Danio rerio: one gene and its partners. The protein of the gene in region 5 interacts with the protein of the main gene of each other region in a pairwise test. Links are inferred from orthologs where the notes say so. Each region holds a gene or a part of one and is shown on either strand. Other genes may lie near its edges.

Region 1 (4,568 bases), on a different chromosome or scaffold from region 5:
TTTCTTCAAACTAGCTGAAACAGACTCTAGAATAAAGATATAAATCAAACATTTTTGAACAATCAAAACACTTTACAGAGCTGTCTCAACATGTCGTTTTAAAACCTTACGCTGTCACAACATGTAATAAATAGAAAGCAACTTCTACATATAAACCTGTTCTATTCAATTCAAAGAAAAGATTTCCCATTTTCAAAAGTGACCAGAATGTAAACGGCATCATAAACACATCTTTACCCATCACCCCCCACAAATAATCTGTCAGCCCCAGCACAGCCCTCCAAATTCTGTGGAATGAGCAAATGTGGAAAAATATAGCCACTCCAAATCTAGCTTATGCATATCCAACTTCAAACTCCTCATCCTTCATTTAAAGGTAAACTTGTTATTTCTAACATTTCCCTAAACGTCGTCTGTGCAAAGTCTGGATGTTCAGCTTCATATTGCTTCCTCTTCCATTGTAGCACTTGTCTCTGAACACGGCCTGTTATTAGCATGGTTTGTTTGCACTTCTGCACTTTTCTGCAGATCAGCGCTGGTGTGGGACAGAGGACACGCTCACTCTGTGTAGTGCATGATGGACTCCACGTAGTTTCCAGGAAAAAGTCCCGTAGTGCCGCTCATCACGCCTTCATACCAGCCGTCGTCATTCTTTTTAATCACATAGATGATGGCTCCCTCCTGGAAAGACAACTCATCTTCCTTATCCCGTACGTAGTCGTAGATTGCCACCACTGAAACAAAGAAAAATGAAAAATAATAGTAATATTATTCTGAGTGTCTGCTCATAATTCAAGTGCAGATGAAGAAAAATTTAAAACAGAAATTAGAAGTTAGCTTTGTAATGAACCAATTGTGGCTTTGTTCAGTTTAACATTATATTTTTTATTTGATACAGAAACTAAAACAGACTAGACTTCAATCAACTAGACTAGAATCAAAGATTCTGATCTTTGGATTTACAAATCAATATTGTTTTATTAAAATGAAAATGTATCAATAGTCTCTTATTGATTGGTCAGTTAAAAAATAATGAGACTAAGGTCAAGTGTACACTGTCAGGTCTTGATGCTCAATCCCGAGCATCATTTGTTGCCTATATCTGATTTTGTTACCTGTCTGTTTACACGTTCTTTTAATTGTGACCCGTATGCAATTCATGTGTTTACACTTGCCTTACAATTTACGATATTGCGCATACGTAAAGGCAGGTTCCAGCATCTGTGCCAAACTAGCCACGATACAAGAAATTTTTTTGCTTTTAGCTCTGCGAAATATGCAAAGTTCACCCAACTTTATAATGATTTTAAGGAAAGATAGGGTCGTTATCGCAACTTGTGCCTATGGTTTATATATGGTGTCCTCCACCATTTAGAGGAATTTGTGGGTACAAGAGAGCTCAGGTCTGGTGGGAGCAAATTGTTGCGGGCTTTAATGAGGAGAAGTGGGTCTGAAATGAGCACACACGCTCTTCCTTCTACGTCAATAAACCATGAACAAATACCACATTGTCACAAGTTTAATGATTTACAAACAGAAATTCTTCAATAAATCTGATCAGCCTGTTTACATGATAGTCACATTGTCACATACCTGATTTATTTTCACATATGAAGGAAGCCTGAAACCAATCTCTGAATATCCGAATGCATGCGCTTTTTTGTGTTTACTCAGTCATAGAACTGATCCGATCTGTCGCATTTGAGGAAAAAAAACTAAAATTGGGTCGCATTTTACTGGCAGTGATAACAGGGCCTAATATCCTGACCCCAGATTAATAAAGGGACTAAGCTGAAAAGAAAATGAAAGTATGAATGAATGAATAATCTTAGAAATAAGAGAAGACTCTTATCAAAATCAAATAAAACTTGCTAAAAAAGTAAATACATTGATAAATATTAAGAATCAAAATTATGATTGCATACCATAATAATGGCATATTTTAAAGGTGTGTGATCTACTTAAATTGTAATGGGGTGATGATGATTTAAAAAAAAAAAAAATCATAGTGTTTAGTAGTAAAAGATCCATATGTGTGAAAATGAGCAGAAAGTGCAACATGAAAAAGGATTCATAAACTAAGACAACAGTTAAACCACTGACTTACTCCTTTAAATGTTTAAGTAACAACCAAAATTGCATTTAACCTAAATCTTCAAACTTGCCTTTTTCCAGGTATGTTTGTGGAGCCCATGGTGGGTCTTCCTCAGCATAAGGGTCACTGTACTCCACCACAGAAGACTCCTCTTCCTCATAGCCTTCTGGAGGAGCAGCCGGATTTTGTGTGTCGTCAAACATGGGCTCTTCTGATGGAGGAGATGGAGGAGGCGCATCTGTAACTGAGAGAAAGTTGAGAAATGAGCAGACGACCAGGACTCCTGCTAAAGGGCAGGCCATGCAAACTCATGGATCCATGCAGAAAGCAAATGAGGTAAACTATGATGATTTGCTGTGAACGAATAGAGTTGAAACTTTCACTGGTAACATTCTGAGACAAACATACACATGCATGCTAATGTAAAAGTGTATATATGTGTACAAACTATTTTAATAATTTCAGCTAGATGTTTGTGTTGTGAACTATGTGTGAACATATTTTACGTCAAATATCTTATTCAGGACAGTACTAAATAACATTCTCATATTTTGTTCAAATAATTCACATTTAAACAAATTCTTCAAGAGGTATGTAAAGTTTTGAGAATGTGTGTGTGTGTGTGTGTGTGTGTGTGTGTATTAGTGCTGTCAAAATTAGTGTGTTAACGCATGCAATTAATTTGAAATATGTAACGTGTTAAAAAAATTCACACAATTGCAGTTTTTTTTTCTGTTGTAGTCGACATGTGTTCAACATACAAAGAAATATGGATAAGACCAAGGAAGCACTTTTTGATGGAAAGTTTCAGTAGAAAACAATTAATGTCACATTGGGTTATCCAGTGTTTCCTCCAGAATTTCATCTAATTTCGTATGATTCAATTTTAATATTTTGATGTTGTTTTAATGGAATTTGATATCGCATGCCGAACAGAAAGAAAAACCTCTGCATTTCGTTACTCAGTGGTCCTTTAAGGTAATTAAAAATCGCTGTTTACATGGTAGACTCTTAATAAGAGTATAATCTTAATCATATTAAAATCGGAGTATTGGTGTCCATGTAAATGTACTCAGAAAGTAATAGATGATGTTGTGAGCTGTCAAAGACAGCACATTCCTCTGCCTTTCAGCATGAGTCCTCAAATGTGTCATTAAGTTTGACGTGTTTCACCCTTATACACAAATTTTGTAATGCGTCTGCTTCACATTGTTGTGTCAGAATCCTTGTGAAATACAGTCATACTTTAGAACGCTTAGTTTAAGCAAATTTTATGAACATGATCATGCCTGTTGAGTCTGAAGGGAGTCGCTCAGGCTGCGCTGTCCTGCGAGCGTGTGTGTGTGTGTGTGTGCATGCGCGCACGCATTTCCTAGCAACAAGAACAAATGCCTAAAGGTTGTTTACAGTTTTTCTCAGTCGCTTTGGTGCATTTCTCGCTACACTATTTACATTTGCACAACAGGTAATGCATTCCTCAAAACAATTAGTCATTTGTGCACATCCTAGTAGCAGTTTCTCATTCTTTTCAACAAATTGCAAATGCTTTAGGACATGCATCAATTGCTTTCATACAACTCTCTGCTGTTTATAACATTATCATCTGCTTATGTCATGTCAGTCAAAATGAACTAAACTTGTAAATGCTGAATAGTCATTCTATATAAAACTAATAGTCCTCGTTTCATTACTTAAGTCATTACATACAAAAATGTTGAACTAGTTGTCAGAATCTGTCAAGCAAAAATTTTTTTAAACAAATTAAAATCTTTATTTTCCTTAAAATGTTTTTAAATTTGAACAATTTGATGAATGATTTACAGACCTGTGTATGTTGTAGGCTCAGTTCCAATATGTACTGCAATATTGTTTACAGTTGTGCACAGCTCTACCTAAAGGGAGTTTATGTTTGTTGTAAATGAGGGTGTGTTTATTCTTTTGCACAATGCTAGGAATAAATTAGGATTGCAAAGAGCAAATGCAGTAAAAATGTGAAACATAGATATTCAGTGTCTTGTACTTAGATACCTCACTAAATGCAGTGATGTCTAACTTTACTGTAGTTTTCAAATGGCTGTGCTAATAGTATACATAATAGTATACTGTGCTACAGACTTTTTTTGCATTGAAAAAATGTAGAGAATAAACTGTCATAATGAAAACATGACAAAGACATTTGACTATCTTGTTCATAAACAATGCTGGCAGGACTTTTCATTTTGATGACACTGACACTTTGATTGACATCAATACTTGCTTTTGAGAAATGAACTATCCATTTTGAGCATGTGATGCGCTTTTGCAGGTTATCAGCTAGGTTTTGCAGTTTGTACTAGATGTTTTGAAAAAATCATTAAATGTTGTGCAAAAATGCACTAGTGTTGTGAGAAACGCACCAAAGCGACTGAGAAAAACTGTAAATGTTTAGATGGTGTGACCAAAGTCCCTGTAAGAACTAGTCTTTGGTGTGACA
Region 2 (4,165 bases), on a different chromosome or scaffold from region 5:
TTGGAAATGAACTGAGGACTGAGGAACCTATTTTGACACCCGTGTTATTTTATTCAGATCAAGATATTGTTATCCTACTTCCCCGCTCCCAGCTTTGTAAAGCAAACTAAGCTGCAACATGAGTCAGACATCCCATCAACACTGATGGGGTCAGACCGACTCATTCTTGTTTGATAGTTGAGATGATTTAATCGATCGTCATGTTTTTTGTTTCTCTTCGATAAACTAACAGGTCAATAGGGTTGTCACCGCGAATAACGGTGACAGCATTGCGCATCTTCTATCGTGGATAAACATGCTTAATGTGCCAATATCACTTCGTCCCTGAGGAAAGAACCACACGCGGACGCATATATCAGTTACGGAGGCAGAGAGCTAGTTATTGGTGGATTTAAGACTGCAAACAAGCAATCGATAAATCAAACTTAACAGTTCATTCCACAAAATGTATATTTAAATATTAAATAATAGTGCTTAGATTGCTGGTTTAAATTTTTAAGACAGATTGTCAGCAGTGTTTTAGAGTTAGTTGTTTCTGTGAGGGTTGACAGACATTAGAACCATCAAAAGTAATACAGTATTTGAATAAATTGTACTTATAAGATACATTTTAATTATCACATGATTTCACCCGTATCTTGATCTTTTTCTAACGCATTTCTAAATTAAAGGAAACTTTAATTCCGACTGATAAAACTCAGCATCACCGGAGAACAACTTCAGACAATTGCGTATGCTGCAAAACTCACAACACAAGAATTAACAACACTTTGCATCGTCCAGAGAATTTGTCAATTACAGACACTATTTCCCGAAAGATTTAACAGATTCACTAGTAATGCATCCCCTAAATATATTGCACTATTTCCTTCGGTTCTTGAGGTAGACATTTTGACAAGTGGTTTACAAGTTCAAACTAAGACGCGCGTAAAAGTGCAGCATTTGTTATTACTGTGCACAAAAATGCACAAGCCACTTCTTTCTATCCAGGTGCTTGACAAAGTGCCCAAGACAATTAACAGTTATTTCACATTAACATAAATAGTGCACAGATAAACAATGAGTGATCAAAATGGTCGAGTTAGAAACGGTTGGTCGCTAAAACACTCTTCCACTTATGTTAAAACATGATGTACAAATAACCATAAGACAAGTCACAAACAATTTTGCATTATTGTTTACAATTTGAAAGAACAAATGTGAAAGCTGTTTAATTAGAGGAGTATGCCTCAACAGTTGGTGAAGGAGAGGGCGTGGATGGTGCAGAGGGCGACTTTTCAGATGCATCCTCTGTTTTTTCGAGACCATCTTTCTGTTCGGACAAAGATTTCGGCAAAAGACCTTCCTTTTCGCGCTTCTTTTGTTTCATACGGCGATTTTGAAACCATATCTTCACCTGAGTCTCATTCAATTGGAGAGAAGCCGCGATCTCCACGCGCCTTGCGCGAGTCAAGTACTTATTGAAATGAAACTCCTTTTCAAGCTCTGTCAGCTGTTTTGTCGAAAAATTGGTGCGTACAGTGTTTGGCTGCCCACCAAATCCATACTCCCCAGCTTTTCCTTAAGAGAGAGAATGAAAAGAAGAATAAATGAATGTGTGTATGCATACTAGGCTATATTGTTATGTCAAGTCCCATATCTTAGGTTTCTTCAGATGTTTATGTAACCAGTGTTGGACATGCAATATTAAGTCAGGACTTGTATTCCGTATCGGGAGAAAAAATAATTACGACTTGTAAAATTTAAGTCACTCACCTGTTTTTGGCGGGTTGCGTTTAACCTTCATCCAGTCAAATGTCTGTCCCGTGGGCACGCCATCTGATAGAGGTGAACAACAAGCATCATGATGAGGCACATGCAGAGGGGAAAGCGGATTTGAGCAGCCCGCCACAAACGTAAGGTTTGCCTGATCCGAACTATTACCATATGTGGCTGAGCCGTACTGGAACTGGCCATGGAGGTGAACGTTTCCGCTACTGTAACCATGACGATGATGACGGTGCTGCACAACAGTGGAAGAAATATTTCCAGAGTAAACTAACGGGCCACACTGGGGAAAGCTCACAGACGATTCCACGTCCTGATTTAGGGCATAGTGATTGTATCCAGTGCAAAAACTTTGAGTTCCATAACTTGGATGGGCGCTGTAGGTAATTGACAAAGTCCCGGGGGACTGGTACGAGCCGGCCTGTTGTGGCTGAGAGTTAATTACATCTTGTGACGATATATTGGACATGAACCGTTCATCTCCACTGCAGCTATTTAACCTAACAGCACACGACGATTGGAATGTTGAAAGTCCGTGATCACCGTGGAACGCCCTGACTGAGCACGAGCCCCCGCTACCTCCATCTCCACCACCACTTATGGACGAAAAATCTAAGAATGTGCTCATTGTGTCATCTTCTTGGGCGTCTCAGCTCGTGGTTGCCACACTGACAGAACTTTGGGCCCGGAACTGATTAACGTCGCACCATTCACCCTGGGTTGAGCCGAGGCACCCTTCTGCCTCCTTCAATCAGTCGTGGATTGGAGGTGTTCGGGCGCTAGTGATATGAATGACCAGTGACAGTCACGTGGGCTGGGTCAGCCAGTGATCAGTTGTGCTGTCTCATCTTGATCTTAAGTGGCCTTGCACTGACAGGTTGTCGTTAAAGACCAGGCTTATGCAAATGCCGACCTCTTGTCCATCAACGTTACGTAGGCCCACCTTTACTTCTGCTGAAAGGATAGATTCGCTGGCAGATACGCTAAGAGGGACGTTGTCTCACAGACAGCGTCCCGGCAGCATCAGCTTCTCGGTGTGTGGATTTTTTTTAAAGAAATGCTTCAGGTAAGATGATCTCAAAACCACAAAGAAATTATGTAAAGTTAGTATCTTTTTCTGGTTCACAATTCGGGTAGCAATATCCTATCAGCTATAGGCTCTAGTGTATCGGCTTTCGTCAACTTAGTAAGTGTATAAAAATGATAAACTGACTACCACTCATCGTATTGTTATTTTTTCGGTGTAGCCAGCACAGTTATATTTGTTGTTTTTTAATACGTTAGGCTTAGCTACTTGATAAAAACATTGGCTGTAGCCCACTGTATATTTATTACTGCTATAAGCTATTTAGCCTATGTCTATGTATGCTAACTGTCAACATTAAGCAGCAAGGAACTAAGGACTTGGAACTTACTTGGAACTAAGAACTTACATGTTGAAATAAATACATTAGCGGGATTTCTGTTTTTGCTGAATGCTATTTTGTGATTAGTATTCACAGACTGATCAATAATCACAGGGAAGACGATGTATTTTATCCACAATCCTATGTGGAGCAGAGGAGACACGCGCCCCCTCTGGAGGAAATTGGACATTTTTATACCTTTTTTCTTTTTTCAAAATGGCGCTTTACACAAGCTTACTACGGCCTAGTATTTCTTATGCCACTATTTTTTTTACAGCAACAAGCCTGACAAATAAGGCAAGAAAAAATAACAGCATAAATATAAAGTGTAATGTACTTAAATGAAATGGAGTCATAGTTTATAAAAACTGTAGAACCACTTAGTGGCCAAATGTTCACTCTGTTAGATGTGGGGAAAAATATCTAAAAATAAAAACTATTGTAGTTGATTAAATATTTGTTTATTCATACGAAAAAAAGCATTTTAAAACATCTTCAATAAAGACATTATAAACATTTGTAACGTTATTTCAATCAGGACAAAAAGCAAAAAGACTAAGACAAATTGGGGAGGACGTGCAGTGAAATATGTTGTATGAGTGTTTTGTGTAATCCTAATGACGGGGTGTAAAACGCCAATAAAAAGATTAATTATTATTATCCGTCCACGTGGGTTGCGCTGAATCCAAAATCGTTATATTGATAAGCGGTGAATGAAATACGTATTTGGGCAGATTTTCACAGACACTGATTGTCTGGATGCTGTCAGCTTTTCTAGAAGACTTTGATTTATGAGTTCGTTTCATGAAAAGAAACATCCTCCTCGGTATTTCCTGACGATGCAGAGAAAAGAGTACGAGACAAAGAGCCCAACTTTGGCGAAGGAGACACGTTTGAACAGTTTTGCTTCATAAATTGCAACATTTGAAAAGTTTTAGGAGTTTGAGTGATAACAAATGTATTAGGATTAATTGTACAGTTTTAGTAATTCC
Region 3 (5,364 bases), on a different chromosome or scaffold from region 5:
AGGCATTCATGTAACCTCAGTCAATGGTAAATGATGATAATAATAATAATAATAATAATAATAATAATAATAATAATAATAATAATAATAATAATAATAATAATAATAATAATAACCAATTTTATTTGTAATGCGCTTTTCTTAAACTCAAAGTGCTACAAGGCAAAATACTAGCAATACAAGGCAAGCAAAACAGTACAACAATGAAATAAAAGATTGTAAAAACACAAAACAAACATTTCATAAGCTACAAAATATAGATTATGAAATCGTACAATATGCATTATCGAAAAGAAAAAAAAAATTCGCTGCTCATCTGAATAATAATGCTAAAGAAATGTTTTTCCTACTGTATGTGATTAGGCATGGGCCGGTACAAGATTCTGTTAGTATGAAAACATTGAATAAAAATATCATGGTTTTATGGTAACAGAGTATTGTGATTATAGAGTGGGTAAAAATTATTGAACCCAACATATTTAATAGGGATGTCCAGATCACATGATCGGAAATCGGGCCTGATCATGCGGTTTTAGACTCCACTGGAATCAGACATTATAATTATAATAGACATTATATTATAATATATATATATATATATATATATATATATATATATATATATATATATATATATATATATATTCTCATTGTTTTTAACATCTATAGTTATGCAGTGGCACAGAGTTAAACCTCTTTCTTGATTTCACACAGAAACAGCAACGCATGCGGCATGACATCACCTTGTTGCAGAGACACTATTGGTCAAATGCTGGCAGAGTAGAACATGGAAGTAGCTTGAAGCGGAAAACGTGAGTATGTCTGCAGTCTGGAGGTATTATAAAGTTAAGGACAACAACATTGCCATAGCAAACTATGAGATTTTTAAACTTGGGAATAGGTATGGGACGATAATCATTTTCAAGGTATACCGTGGTTTGTAAAAGTCAAGGTTTTAAAACCGCCAAAATGTTCTGCTATACCGTTCCTACGGTATATGCAAGTTTTTTTTTCTTTTTTTTTTACATTTCATTTTAAGTTTTTTAGGACAACAGTATCTTCAGCAGAAACAATATTCAAACAGCCTTTTCAAGTTGAAAGAACTCTGTGTTTTTTAAAACAAATGAAGACAGCAGAATACCATAAAACATTGAAACCGTGATTTTTTTTTTCCAAGGTTATCATACACTCAGAATCTTATACCGGCCCATGCCTACTTGTGATTGCCTGCCAGGCATTTTAAGTTGAGGTGCTATTTGTTTTTATATTAGCTTTTTTATATTTACTGTTGCATTTAAGTCCAAAAGTAAAAAATATATGTTGTTTATCGCTTGATTATTCAAGCAACCTCACAGAAGTGCTCTGTTTGTTAACAGAGTTGTTGAATGGTAAAATAAGGTAAATTATTCAAAAAAATAAGGAACATTCTGGATCTGTTTCTTTGCTCTTTTTTATTCTTTTTTTTTAGTTTTTATGTATTATAGACGTATCGCATCGGGTTTGGTTATCGGTAGATAGTAAAAATCAAATTACTCAGACTCAGATTAAGGGCAAAAAAAACCTGATCAGGACATCCCTAAAATGTAATTTTAAGAAACACTTCTGCTGAAAGAGACTTCTGCTGTCTTTATTGGTTTTAAAAACACAGATTTCTTTACAACTTGAAAAGGCATCTTTGAATCTTTTCTCTTTTTTTGGATAAAAAAGTAAGCCGCTGCACTGTTCAGGCCAGCATGCTTGGATGTTACTGCATAAGCAGTTCGTTTTTCAGATGTTTTCTGAATCGTTGGTTGACCAGTACATTTTAATGTGGAGGGTCTTTTTCTGCTGGAGATACTGTTGCTCTAAAAACTAAATAAAATATTCAATAAAAAGAACAATATACGTATACTATATGAACAGTATGACAGAAAAGTTTAGCGGTTTTAAAACTGGATATCAACTCATGCCTACTCGTGATTATTTTATTATGTATTCATTATTATTCATAATAACTGACCGTCCACTTGTTGGCAACATTTAACCATTATTTTTAATTAATTAAATGTGTGTAGGTGTGTGCGCGTTTGTGTGGTTTCAAAACTAGCATAAAACTAAAATGTGGGCAGGCACAGTGACTAAAGCTTAAAGAAGCATTAAGCTTGTTAATTGCTATATTTATGTATAATCACTGTTGGGGCAGTAATGTACAAATTACTTTTTAAGCAGTAAACAATCTCAAATATTGTTCCTTTCCCTGTTCCTCAGCTATTTCACTCGAACTATACATTATATTGCATAATTATAATAAACATTACATTTTAATTAATTAATAAATATTATTCAAACTCATGCATTATGATAATAAAAGTGAACCGTCACCAACATTTGAACATTTTATTTAATCGAAAACTCATGAAACGTGATTCGAATCAAGAATAGCATTCCATAACAATACGGTACTATGATATTTACGTAGTACTTTGATATATAAAGTGTTAAGCAAAACATGATGACGCAATTGTACCATGTCAAAAGCTTAGTATTACAATAGAACATGCCAAAAAATATTATTTGAAATACTCTATTTCCTGTTTACTAGCATAATGCTAACCTGCCTGAAGTCCAGAGTTCACTTCAACTTTTCAATAATCCGCATACAAAAAGTATCACCGATCCAAAACTGCTTCAAACATTAACATAACACTGTGCTGAATCCGTCCTTCCATAATAAAGCTGTTTTAGCGTTGATGTTACTGTATGTAACACTGTCAATGGCCTGTCAACGCACCTGAACACACACCTGTCATTTAAACACCTGTTTGACACGTCACATTCAACGCTTTTGTCTTACCTGTTGCTTCAGCTGAAATCAGTCTGTGCATTCATGGTTGTTTAACGGCGCTTCAATCCCCTTCGTCAGCTTTTACGGGAAATATATTACTCTCCATAACATCCGCTGCGCCCTTCGGTCCGTCCACTTGCTCGATGCATCCCGACAGTCGGCGCTACTCTCACACAAACACACCACACTGAGAATCGCCACAGAAACACAAATGGAGAATATGCGGCTAAAGGGCAATAATAGTTTTTTAAGTGACCGGTTTGGTCTGAAAAAAAACGTTATTTTTTCACATTTTACTATATATTTTCACCTCAATTTCTAAAGTTACCAGTGTTAATTTTTCAGGTGTAACCTCTTTCCCAGACCTCCAAAGTGGCAAATGGCAATTGACAGCGTTGCAACGTGGTGTCTGTTACTTTTCTCTGCGCTTGTCAGGTTTAACCAATTATGTTCGACTTTAATTATTGATACACTATTCGTTAAATTAATTTATATCGATAGATCCCTGTGGAGAATTCCATGACCATGCCAGACAGTAAGCATTTGCATCCACATTGTTTAAACAAAACTATTGTCTTGTGTTGTAAAGTTCTTAATAAAGGCGTTCTAAGATCAAGCGTTGCGTTGTGTCTCATGTACACAACATGGGGGCGTTGTTACTATAACAACTAATTCATGTCTATGAAGAAGACAAGGAGAAATTCCCTTCATATTCATTACTCATACACATGGGTATGTATGAATAATTTCGGCCTTGACTGTATATGTTCGTTTTATTTTGTATGGCTTGATCAAATAAAAGAAAAAGAGAAAAAAATCATTTTCTTCATGTTGTGAATTACATATCAAATAGCATGCGCTCAGAAGACAGCAATGCAGAAGAGATTGAAACGTTTAAATAAACATAACAAAAATTCCCAACAAACACACAACGTTGCCTCAACGTAGCGACCTTCCTACAACGTTGTATCAACATTGCAAAAAGGTTGAGGATTCTACGTTGTTGCTAAAGGTTGTCACAACGATGTCATAAGGTTGCCATTTAAACATCATGAGGGTCGCCCAACAAACACATTTACGTTGTAGCGATGTCTGCACAACGTTGTATTTTTTCAAAGGCAACGTTGCCGCTTACGTGCTCGCTACATTGTCACAACGTAGAAATGTAAGACGTGAGAAGGCTGTAGCAACGTTGTCGTGCGACATTCAGCAACCGCGAGGCGGCGTTCTTACTACTTGTATTGATATTTTTTTGTGGCAGTTTATCATTACTGCCTAGAATACAGGATAAGCAGCAATTCTTTTCCAGTATTGCTTAATATGAAATATTGTTCATTTATTTTTCCTATTTAATTTAAAAACTGCATGTGTAAACTTTAAAGTGTAAAAATGCCACACAAATGAATATCAAACTTTTTATTATATATTTCACAACATTTAATAAATACAGTACACATACAGTATCTAATTATAAGCAAACAGTATAAAATAAAGTTTATATATATATATATATATATATATATATATATATATATATATATATATATATATATATATATAATTAAACTAAAGGGTAAACAAACAAGAAAAGTAAACAAGAAATCATTAAAAGGTAAATAAATATATAAATAAATATATAAATTAAAATTCAAACACTGGGCAGTGAAGCTCTGGACTGGAGAATACAGCAGACCGGGGAGCGCAGCTGAAGACCAGTCGTAGTTGTTGGTATGGAGAAAGCAGTCAGAGGAAGAAACAAATTCAACGGATAATCCAGCTTCAGAGATCCACAGCAGACAAAAGTCAAAATAGGCAGTGAACAAGAGAGGACAGATCAGAGCTTGACACAACAGCACTACACAGGAAATGACTATGACTAGCAAGTTATTGAAGTTTCAGACATTTATTGTAATTTCATTACATATAAAATCTCCAGAGTAATTATGTAGCCTACTTTATTTTAATGTTTTAATAATATATCATATACCAAAATTACAAACAATTAAATAAATTTAGAGATACAGGGAAAACAGGTTTGAGTTAACAGAAGTCAGAGTTAGTCTCCGAATACTTACTGTAAATTATGAGAAGAGGTCCTGTAGTTGTGGCGTTGCTCGCTGTTAATGAAATGTTAAACTTAGTGTCATTTCAATAACAGCTGTACAAAATAATAAAGTAATTTTTCATAAGCATGATCTATTTTCCACATTATGGACATGCGGTTTTAGGTAACATAACTACATTTAATAGTAAATAGAATAGTATACTTCTTACCTCATTCAATTCTTCTTTCCATCAGGAATTACAGCAACACTGATCTGAGGTGAATTCAACAGCTGAAAACATTCTGAAAGACAAGTTACATAAGTAATTTGAAAACAACAGTGAGTGATTAAACAATAGTTTTATGCAACTTACGCATAATTAAAATCCAGAAATTATCAATAGAAGATTACCTCCATGTAAAAATAGCCTGTTGAGTAAAGAAAAGAGTGGGTTTTAAATAAAACATCAAAAGACCCATCAAAATAGAAATTTAG
Region 4 (5,281 bases), on a different chromosome or scaffold from region 5:
GTGGTCCTCCAGGAAAGTGGTAGAGAAACACTGCAATAAAACACACAAGCACTCCATTCTGTGAAAACATATGATTGTGTACCTTAGGGCAGCTCTGTGGTATGTCGTTCTTCTCAATTCAGATAATACTTTCTTTCTTATCCGAGCTTCTAAATTGTGGTCAATGTCATCTGAAGGGAATATTTAAGCACTGTTTAAAGGAACGCTCCACCTTTTTTTTTTTTTGGAAATAAGCACATTTTATAATTAACCTAGAGTTAAATATTCAAGTTTTACCCTTTTTGAATTCATTCAGCCAATCTACATGTCTGGCGGGAGCCCTTTTAGTATTTAAGTGTAGCTTAGCTTAGCATAAATCATTCAGTCGGATAAGACCATTAGCATCTTGCTAAAAAAAATCACAGGGGTTATTTTCCTATTTAAAGCTTAAATATTCTGTAGTAACCTAGATGGGAACTTGTTTAGGTGCTGCATAATATTATTGATCCTGCAGCAAAGTTCCTTGATTATAATGCTGGAATACTTTTTTTCTGTCAGTCTTAGAACACAATGTAACTACAGAAGAGTCAAGCTTTAAATAGAAAATTTATCAAATTTATCATTTTTTTTAATTTTTGTGCAAGATGCCAATGGTCTAATCTGATTCAATGACTTATGCTAAGCTAAATATGCTCCCAATATACCTGGAGTTCAGCTGAATGGATTTAAAAATGGTAAAGCTGTCAATCTCTAGGAGACTTGTAAAAATGAGCCTATTTCCAAAAATAAATGCAGTGTTCCTTTAAACCACAGTGTTGACATTTCTCCATTTTGTCTTTTATCAATAACTCACTTTCACTGACATTTCTCTCTTCCTCCAAAAATTTCCTCTCCAGAATGATGGCTTTCTCCCTGAGCTGTGAAGATTCTATCACCCGCTTCCTGCTCCAAAGGAAGTTAGAGAGTTTTTGTGCCCTTTCCGTCAGACTTTTTACATCGGCCCCTACATATCAAATAAAAAGCATATAAAACACACTACTTTAGCATGTCAATTCAGAAAACATAATCTTTAATACTGAGGCTGGCAGATCATTGGTTCCTCACTCTGTAAGATGGACTGTGCTGCTAGCTGCAGTTGCTCTGGCAGTTGCACTGTTTTCAGGTTTGTAACACCCGGGTGTTTTCTGTGAGGAGCGCCATTCAGGTAGTCGGCCTGTTCCAGAGGTGCTGCGGAACTCTGACACTTTCAAGACAATGAGAAGCACATTTGACTTATTCAGTATCACATAATTCTGATAATTTTTTTTGAATAATGGTTAGTGGTTGAAGGGTATCTTTTTGGCAGAATTACAGCCAGGTAGTTCTGGCTATAGCATTTGTTGTTCCTTATATGGAAGTTAATGGGTACCGGGTTTCAACATTCTTCAAATTATCTTTTTTGTGTTAAATAAGAAACAAGGATGAGTATATACATTTTATATATTAAATACATTTTATGATTCTGTTATATTGCTACTATGTGCAGTCTAATAAAATGCAAGGCATATTAAGCATCTTTGGTGTTTTTCTATAGGTGAAGTTTTTTCCTTGCTGCTGTCGCCACTGGCTTGCATGGTTCGGGACCTGTGGAGTTGGGCATCGATGGATTTGCTCTTCAGTGTTTGAACTCTCAGCAGTGAAAATTAAACCACACTGAACTGAACTAAACTAAACTTCAACAATGAAAACTGGACTGACACTGTTTCAATTCACTAGAAAGCTGCTTTGACACAATCTACACTGTAAAAGCGCTATAGAAATAAAGATGAATTGAGTTAAATTATAAAACGACTGAAAATCGAGGGTGAATGATGTCATTAGCATGTGTCACTAGTTAAAATTGCTTATTTTTAGAATGAGTTGAACATTCCTCAAAACACTGGAAATACTGTAAGTGTAAAAGTCAGCAAAAAATATAACACTTTTCTAGTGAAATTAAATAAAGATCTTACATATTTTGTCATTAAAGATTATTAGTATCATTTGTAAAGAAATATGGTTTTATTCATACTTTCATTAGTTTTCATTTTACTATAAATTTTATGTAAAGTTTTAACTTTACATAAAAAAACTTTTCACTACAACTGCTCTTTTAGGAAAAGAGCAATAGCAGTGCTTAAATTAGTGTTTCTAACTGCTTTAAAGAAAGTGCTTTTATAGATATGCCTGCCATTATCTTTTTTTATCATGCAAGGAAGAAAATTTACAAAGATACAATATGAACAAAGAGACAAAAACGGTTACATAAATAAAATTCCAGCAAATTAAGCAAGTTAAAATGATTTACACTAAGAGTTTTACTGGCAATATAATTATTAGAGTATTTCACAGAGTTTACAAATAAATCCTTTCTAAAATTAAACAGGGTGTTTCTTAGAAAATGTAAATTTGTGGATGTAAAATTTTGCCAAAAAAAATAAATAAATCATGAGATAATAAATAATACATTTACAATAAGAGGGATCTAAGTTCAGAGAGTAGGAATAGAAAGAATACTAGAATACTAGAAATACTAGAAATATTTTTGGGGAAATATAAAAGTTTTGAAATAAGAATTTCTTTTGATGTAATTGGAAGTCAACCCAAAACACTTTACAGTAAATCCACTCCCAAAATAAATGACTTAGTGTTTCATCATATTGAGTACAAAATGAGTATGTATGGGAAATATTGTTATTAAATTTGACAAATTTGGTATTTATTGGGTAGCAATTATGCCTGGCATTTATCATCAAGTAGCCAGGCCACATTCATTACCAATCACAAATTTAACCAATCACTGCAGAGCAATGAACACATTCTCGTTCTCAAAACATTTGATAGTGTTTAAACCATTCATACAATACATTTAGTTGACAAAAAACATTTTCTCAGGTAATAATTAAGGTCACACAAATATATTAATTACAAATGATTAACAAACTAAATAAATTATTAGTATATTTCTCACCATCATCGAAACGAATAGCCCTGATCACGCCCTATATATATCAGACTATCCTCACTTGAATCTTCAGCGAAAGGAAGCTCACTGTAGAGGTCACTTACTGAGTGCTCGTCACTCGCCAACACCTCGGGGAAGGTCTGAGACAGGAGCTCCTCGCTGACCTAGCAGGACATCATCTGAATGATGAGCGAGTGCACAGAAAATCGGGTCACGCGCGCGACTCTCGCAGCAGACGTTGATGCTCGCACACATTCAGCGGATCAACTGAATGACGCGCGCAGACTTGGAAACACTCGCGGCTGGCGAATGAGTGCGATGTGTGAGCTAGCATAACATGCTAGAACCCAATTCAGACTACTCTCCCTCCGCTCTTTTCACATCATTTATTACTAAGAATGACATGGAAGTTTGACTGACATATTACTCACCCGGATCGCTTCTTTCAAAGACAAAGCCACATGGCACCTTGAACATTTCACAAACACTCGACTTCCCAGTAAATGCATGCTTTATTCTCGTTTATTAAAACCTGCGTACAAATGAAATTCTACTTTAAAGACAACACAACATGGTAACATCGGTGTACGGACGCATGCTCAAGCAGTCGTTTTACCGACTTCAAAATAAATCCGTGTAGAAACAAATCGGTCAATTCGTTCCTAGACAGGAGTCCGCTCTGTTATACTTTTCGCGCCATTTAAAACGCCCCAGTTGTGCTCTGTGATCTGAGGTAAGTGTTGAAAACTATTTTAATCTTATCATTATTTACATTTTAGCGGGATAAAGCGTAATGTTATCCTATATTTTGTTCTCCGAAACGTGTTTTGCCGCAAGACTCCGGGCTAACGTTAACTTACGTTATTAGGAAGTGAATACATCACTATGGTGACTCATGTCATAATTCACCACCTCCTAACTACATAACTAGGAATTTTACGTCACACCCATACCTTCACTGCTAACGTGTGATACACCGGAAACGTTTCCTCTTTTGACGTTTTCTCCTAATTTTAGCTGTTTTCCGGGAACATGCGACGAACAAGGAGTTGCAGGGACAAGTCTGTGGCAGATTCAGGCAGTGAAGCTTCAGAGGCGAAGACGGGTATGAATTCGCTTTCTCTGAACATGCCAAAACAACCCAAAGTTACACAATCAGCATTTTAAGACTTTTTGTCATACACTGAAGCTCTGCACATTTACATTGACTGCTTTTCCAAGTAAATATATATATATATATAAATGTACACCACAGCCACCCCAGCATGACTGTTTTAACCATTAAATCACTTTGAGTTTATAGATGTGACAGTCCCCTGGAAGAATTTTAATATGTAGAATCATTGACTGTGTGTTTTGTTTGTTTTTTGTGTGTTTTTTTGTTTGTTTGTTTATCAAGAAACCTATTTGTATATTAAGTAGTGAATATGTATTACCGATGTTGCCATGAATATAGCCAGTGTTGCTGATAAGCCATTAAAACATTAATAAATAATATGTTTGCACTGTTTTCATTTCAGATTTGCATATTTTTACATTATGAATGATTATGAACTATGAATGTTTTTAGTTTGGCAGTGGAAAGGGGATGAAGATGAATGGGAACCGTATCCTTCAGAGGTCTGCGAACAGCTGGATGCAGCAAAGCAGGCTGGTGAAAAGTCTGTTTCGCTTGCGCTCGGACCTGGTTACGTAGTGGATCTTGTGAAAATGACTCAGACTAATACTGTCAGCAAGTACAAACGAAAAATACGCCTTCAGAAAGTGAAGTCAGGTACGTCTGCGTGCTTCTGTATGTGACTGAATAAGCCTCTGGGTCAGGAAACTAACAGCAGCTGATTTGTTTTATTGCAGAAGATCTGAATGAAGGGAATGCTTTGAATGGTAATAAAAAAGCAACAGGTGTTGTTCAGATTAAAGAAGAAAAAGAGGAGGAAGAGGAGCAGCCCGTTTCCAAGAAGAGACGCAATGAAGGGAGGAGTCAGAAAGCGAACAAAGACAAACCTGTGGTAAAAGAAGAATGTGAAGGTGATGCTTCCCTCGAATTAATTTTAGCAATCTCTCTTCTTCAGTCAAAATGAAAGTATGCCCCTTAAACAGGGTTCCCAGAGGTCATGAAATTTCTGCAATGTCAGGGATTTTTAAAAGGTTCATTCCAGACATTGAAAATCAGGGAATGATCTATATTTTAGTCCAAACTGAATATTACAAAGTTGACTTATCACACACCAGATGAGTACTTTCTATATGTGAATATAATGAATTGTTTAACAGAAAACAGTGAATAGTGTCTTGGCAAAAAACAATCTGAGGTAATGG
Region 5 (4,568 bases):
TTCTGTCTTCACTAATTTTAAAATGAAGAATATTATCATTCAGAGCATTCATTTACAGAAAATGAGATTAGCTCAAGATAAATTATTCCAGCTTTCTAGTTTTAGGATTTAAACTAATCTGACAAGTTTTTTATCACTAGGATTTAATTTAAACATTAAAATGAAATGTATAAAAAAAAATAAAAATAAAAATAGAGTAAAAAATGAATTTAATTTTTAAAAAAAAGTAACAGTACATAGGGATCAACATGACGTTTAAACAACAAGTTTAGCAGTTCTTACCTGAAGGTCCAGTAGCCATATATCTAATGGGCATGCCATTTCCTCCCGTTCCACCATTCTGGTCATACATGTTATATTTGGGCCTCTGCTCGGGCAGGCCTTTCTTTGGAGGTCTGTAGAGAGCGGGGCCAGAGTGTGACATTGGTGCTGTGTCTCTGTCTGGGCTACCCAGGGTCCTTGGAGGCAGCCAGGTGGGACCAGACATATCAGACTTCTACAAGAACAACACACAATATAAACCATGGCACCATTGTGAAACTTTGTAGGTTTAAAGTCACTTATTTGAGTATTTTAAATATGATTAGATGTAATGTATAACACAACAATCCCTAAGAGTTCAGGCTCTATAGAAGTGCTGCCCAAGCTTGTATAAAATGCATAACTGTAACTACACAAAACAGACTGATGCTTTATGCTTTGTCTCCAGTGGCAACGCATGGTTTCCATGATAACAATAGGCACCAAGTTAAAAAGCAGGAAAAGGGAACCATTCTCAGCCGAAAGGGGAATTCCAGGGTTCCTCAGTCAAACAGCATTTCTCTCTCTCTCACACACATACAAAACAAACATACAATTCCCACAGGTGCACAACATTTGCAATGTATTCGTTCCGCTCTCGAGTCTCCCATAGGTACAATAGGCATTGTCCACAACACTTAATCCACAATACTTTATCTACAGAGCCTGTCCATGAAAATAAGATAGGAAGTGTTGTGTAATATACAACTTTTCATTTGTGCCATCAGGTGTTCGCCAGACAATGTGCTTGTGTATCCAAGTGCTGACGAGTGCTTGTTATTATAAGCTTATGAAAACAAACCTCACAACAATATAAGATGCTGTAAACACAATAGTATTTTACAAAAGTATTAGAAAACAAACAAGTCCTCTGAGAATCTAGCTTAAGATGGCTGTCTAGTAATCTGCTGGTTGAGCAGTTAACATGCCCAAATATAGAGTTTAGCCACATTAGTAGAACTAACTAGTAGCTGGTTCGTATTGAGGTAAAGTTGGTTTTATTTTCACACATTTGCACTTTCCTCTGAATAATTTAATTTCACAAAAACATCTTTTGCAAATTCTAAATAGGGAAATTATATTAACACAAATGATCTCAAAGTAAAACATTGTTTACAGTCAAATAAATAGTGCTAATGTTATTTTCAAATCATACTTACATGTGTTTCAGGCCGAATATTCAAAGTGGCATGGTAAACTATATAGGGAGCATGTCACAAGTTGTCACTGGACAATTGTGTTAATATAAAACCAACTTCACCTCAATATGGTTTGTTTGTTAATGGTCGAAAGTAGTCTAGCACAACCAAATCACCAACAACAGTATTTTGTAAAGCATTACATAACGAAGAAGTCTTTTGAAATTGTACTTGAAAAGCCAGAATAAAGGGACAGTTCACCAAAAACTGAAAATTCTGTCATCTTTTACTCACCCTTCACTTGTCACAAACCTGTTTGAGACGGAGTAAATACAGTATAGATACATATACAGTATGCGAAGTGGAGTTTTTTTATAAACTAATTTCGAGAGGATCGCATGCTTATGATTGCTTGCGGCTGGTCCCTCATTATCCAATTTATGATTCACCAATCAGATAATTCCTAAGCCACTATAAAATACCCTAAGTTCCATATCACAGCCACCTTTGTTTTTGAGGATCCCCCCTTCCACCCCTACTCCTCCTCCTTTCCTAGATGGCTGACACGGTGGCCCAGTGGTTAGCACTGTTGCCTCACAGCAAGAACATCTTTGGTTGTAGTCCTTACCAAGCCAGTCGACGTTTCAGTGCGGAGTTTACATGTTCTCTCCATGCTCACGTGGGTTTACCCCCAGGTTCCCAGAGTTCGTCCCACCGTCCAAAAACACAACTTAAGTTAATTGACTAATCCAAATCAGCATTATAGACATGCTCCTAGTAAGTAGTTATCTCTTAAGAGCAATCACTATCTGTTCATTAGCTTCTACAGCAGGGGAGTTCTCGAGATCAACCTGAGCTCAAACTCCCCTCTCGCCTTGCAAACAGGAGGGAGCCCCGGACTTGACGATCTTTTGAGCTCATGGCTCTCCCCCAGGACAGCATGCCAAACTAGCTTTATAATTAATCATCAGCTAAGTGTGAACTAGGGCTGCACGATATTGGAAAAAATTGACATTGCGATATTTTTTCCCCTGCGATATATATTGCGATATTATATATATATATATATATATATATATATATATATATATATATATAATATATATATATATATATATATATATATATATATATATATACTGTGAACTCTTGGACTATATATTGACAATCAGGAGGGTCAGCTGTTTCAGTTAGTTTGTGTATACATGCTTCACTTATTTATGCATTTCTTTTTTTAATTTCATCTAGTTTATTAATAAAAACTAAAAGATTTAGGTTTTCAGCATTTTGAGGGACATTTAGTGTATTCTGACCTGCAGTATTCTCTAATTTGCGATTTCAGATGTTACTGTAGGTTAAACTACAAACTACATATTTTTCAGGCTAAATATGTAAACACCCATTTTACGAGAACAAGTCTTGTGAACATGATGTCTATTGGAGCTCTAGATCTGCCTCTTTCAGACTTTGTTCTCGCATTGACTGATTGGCGCAAATATGCATTAACAATTTTTTTACCGTTATAGCGGTGGTCAAATGTTTTATTTATATTATCTATTATTTTAATAATTAATATTATTTAAAATACAGATCAGAGTGAAATATTTCTCAGTATTAAACAACTGACCCCCCCATACATCTTGTTCTGACATCCTTCAGGGGGGATAAAGTGGTAATTAGGGGGGTCATATCTCCCTAAAGCCCCTGTAATTCGCACCCCTTATATGTACTTTTTTGTTAAACACAAAATAAGCTGTTTTGAAAAATACTGAAAATGTGTAACCTTCCTATTATGAAAGTAAATGGCTACAGGTTTCTAACATGCATGCCTTCAAGTTTTTTCTTTTGTGTTCAACAGAAAAATGAAACTCATAAAGGGTTGGAACCACTTGAAGAAGAGTAAATCTTCAATTGGGCTGAACTACAGTAGTCAACATTTGAAGAGGATCATAACCTTTCATCAAAGATTTCCTAAAACTATTGAACAACAGCCATTCTTGTCCTAGGACAATTTTGAAAAACATTTTTGATTCGCTTCGAATGTTGACTACTGTATTTAGGAAAACAGCTTGGTAATGTTGGTTGACCAGTTAAATTGCCCCCAAAAACAGTTTGACCACCTTAGTATAACTTGTAGCGTGCTGTATGTTTGTTGATGTTAGAAGATGGTTTTACACAAGCAAATAGCCAGGTAATGAGCAGTTAACCATCAATGCTATCTTAACATTGATTCAGCTCTCACGTCTACATTGATCTATAATAATTACACTGAACAACATCTAAACAAGTTTCTTAACCACATAAACATCCAATATGACCGTCTTGCATTGCACTACAACCAGTGAAAGCTCGAACTCAAAGCCGTGGCTTGTTAGGCCGATGTATCTCCCGTATGACTCCATTTTTTAAATCTTAAAATAAATGAATTGCAGTCTGCTTTAGGTTGTGATTCGTTGCAGTGCTTGACAGAAGCGCGCGACACATGAACGTGACGCTCGCGGATTTCTGCTCATCTATGGTTACTGACGTCCGGTGTGTTCTGTGGGTTATTTAAACAATAGGACATTAACAATTTCCCGTAACGTTACCTTTTGAAAACGCTGCAGACTCCAAGCCTACAGAACATCTGCCTCGTCTCGGCTCGTTTTCATCTGCAAAATGAAATCAGCGATATTTTCCATCAGCTCATGCCTCATGAAATGACCGGCGGGCAGCGTCCGTCTGTCTGTATCAGTTAAAAAGTTCAGTTCAATACATTATTCAAGCCTCCTGTACTTACTTAATATATCAATTCAACTGTTAAATATTACAAACACGCCTATAAACATTAAAGCCCATGCAGTCGTGCACTACAGACCGTTCAGTTTTTGGAGAGTAAGTTAACGTTACATCCAGAGTTTACATTGTTTATTTGACTGTTGATAATGCGAATACTGCAAGTCGCGTCGGCTGATTTATGCGAGATTTTTTCTTCTTCTTAAAGAAACACTATCGCAAACACTGTCAGCAAAACGTGCTCGCTTTCGGTTTATATCCGACCCATTACACTTCTGAGCTACTTTTTAGTTCTCTTTCGATTTCATTTTAGTAACCTACTTTTCCTGGAGGATCCAGCAGCGGCTGACAGAG

What was found.
Region 1: the proteins of trip6 (region 5) and abi2a interact in binary tests that used the Homo sapiens proteins (3 or more experiments, as listed by UniProt). The link is inferred for Danio rerio from reciprocal best matches to the Homo sapiens genes TRIP6 and ABI2.
Region 2: the proteins of trip6 (region 5) and hoxa1a interact in a two-hybrid assay, tested with the Homo sapiens proteins (2 studies listed by BioGRID and IntAct). The two-hybrid records come from large-scale screens. The link is inferred for Danio rerio from reciprocal best matches to the Homo sapiens genes TRIP6 and HOXA1.
Region 3: the proteins of trip6 (region 5) and ppp1r16a interact in binary tests that used the Homo sapiens proteins (3 or more experiments, as listed by UniProt). The two-hybrid records come from large-scale screens. The link is inferred for Danio rerio from reciprocal best matches to the Homo sapiens genes TRIP6 and PPP1R16A.
Region 4: the proteins of trip6 (region 5) and mettl17 interact in binary tests that used the Homo sapiens proteins (3 or more experiments, as listed by UniProt). The link is inferred for Danio rerio from reciprocal best matches to the Homo sapiens genes TRIP6 and METTL17.

The regions. Positions count from the first base shown.
Region 1 is NC_133184.1:13,942,311-13,946,878, reverse strand, and holds the end of abi2a (abl interactor 2a), read right to left. Parts: intron 2,340-4,568; coding exon 2,166-2,339; intron 735-2,165; coding exon 559-734; downstream 1-558. UniProt on the Homo sapiens protein: Regulator of actin cytoskeleton dynamics underlying cell motility and adhesion. Functions as a component of the WAVE complex, which activates actin nucleating machinery Arp2/3 to drive lamellipodia formation.
Region 2 is NC_133194.1:22,044,033-22,048,197, reverse strand, and holds hoxa1a (homeobox protein Hox-A1a), read right to left. Parts: upstream 2,492-4,165; 5' UTR 2,396-2,491; coding exon 1,756-2,395; intron 1,561-1,755; coding exon 1,211-1,560; 3' UTR 1,189-1,210; downstream 1-1,188. UniProt on the Homo sapiens protein: Sequence-specific transcription factor. Regulates multiple developmental processes including brainstem, inner and outer ear, abducens nerve and cardiovascular development and morphogenesis as well as cognition and behavior.
Region 3 is NC_133187.1:14,314,021-14,319,384, reverse strand, and holds the start of ppp1r16a (protein phosphatase 1 regulatory subunit 16A), read right to left. Parts: upstream 3,216-5,364; 5' UTR 3,135-3,215; intron 2,988-3,134; 5' UTR 2,834-2,987; intron 1-2,833. UniProt on the Homo sapiens protein: Inhibits protein phosphatase 1 activity toward phosphorylase, myosin light chain and myosin substrates.
Region 4 is NC_133177.1:40,857,143-40,862,423, forward strand, and holds the start of mettl17 (ribosome assembly protein METTL17, mitochondrial), read right to left. Parts: upstream 3,586-5,281; 5' UTR 3,472-3,585; coding exon 3,394-3,471; exon of another isoform or gene 2,975-3,393; coding exon of another isoform or gene 2,969-2,974; intron 1,223-2,968; coding exon 1,084-1,222; intron 983-1,083; coding exon 833-982; intron 171-832; coding exon 83-170; intron 1-82. Other genes in the region: parp2 (poly [ADP-ribose] polymerase 2), read left to right, coding at 3,995-4,067, 4,533-4,736, 4,817-4,990. UniProt on the Homo sapiens protein: Mitochondrial ribosome (mitoribosome) assembly factor. Binds at the interface of the head and body domains of the mitochondrial small ribosomal subunit (mt-SSU), occluding the mRNA channel and preventing compaction of the head domain towards the body.
Region 5 is NC_133182.1:19,978,103-19,982,670, forward strand, and holds part of trip6 (thyroid receptor-interacting protein 6), read right to left. Parts: exon of another isoform or gene 4,219-4,568; intron 4,165-4,218; exon of another isoform or gene 4,028-4,164; intron 497-4,027; 5' UTR 488-496; coding exon 283-487; intron 1-282. UniProt on the Homo sapiens protein: Relays signals from the cell surface to the nucleus to weaken adherens junction and promote actin cytoskeleton reorganization and cell invasiveness. Involved in lysophosphatidic acid-induced cell adhesion and migration.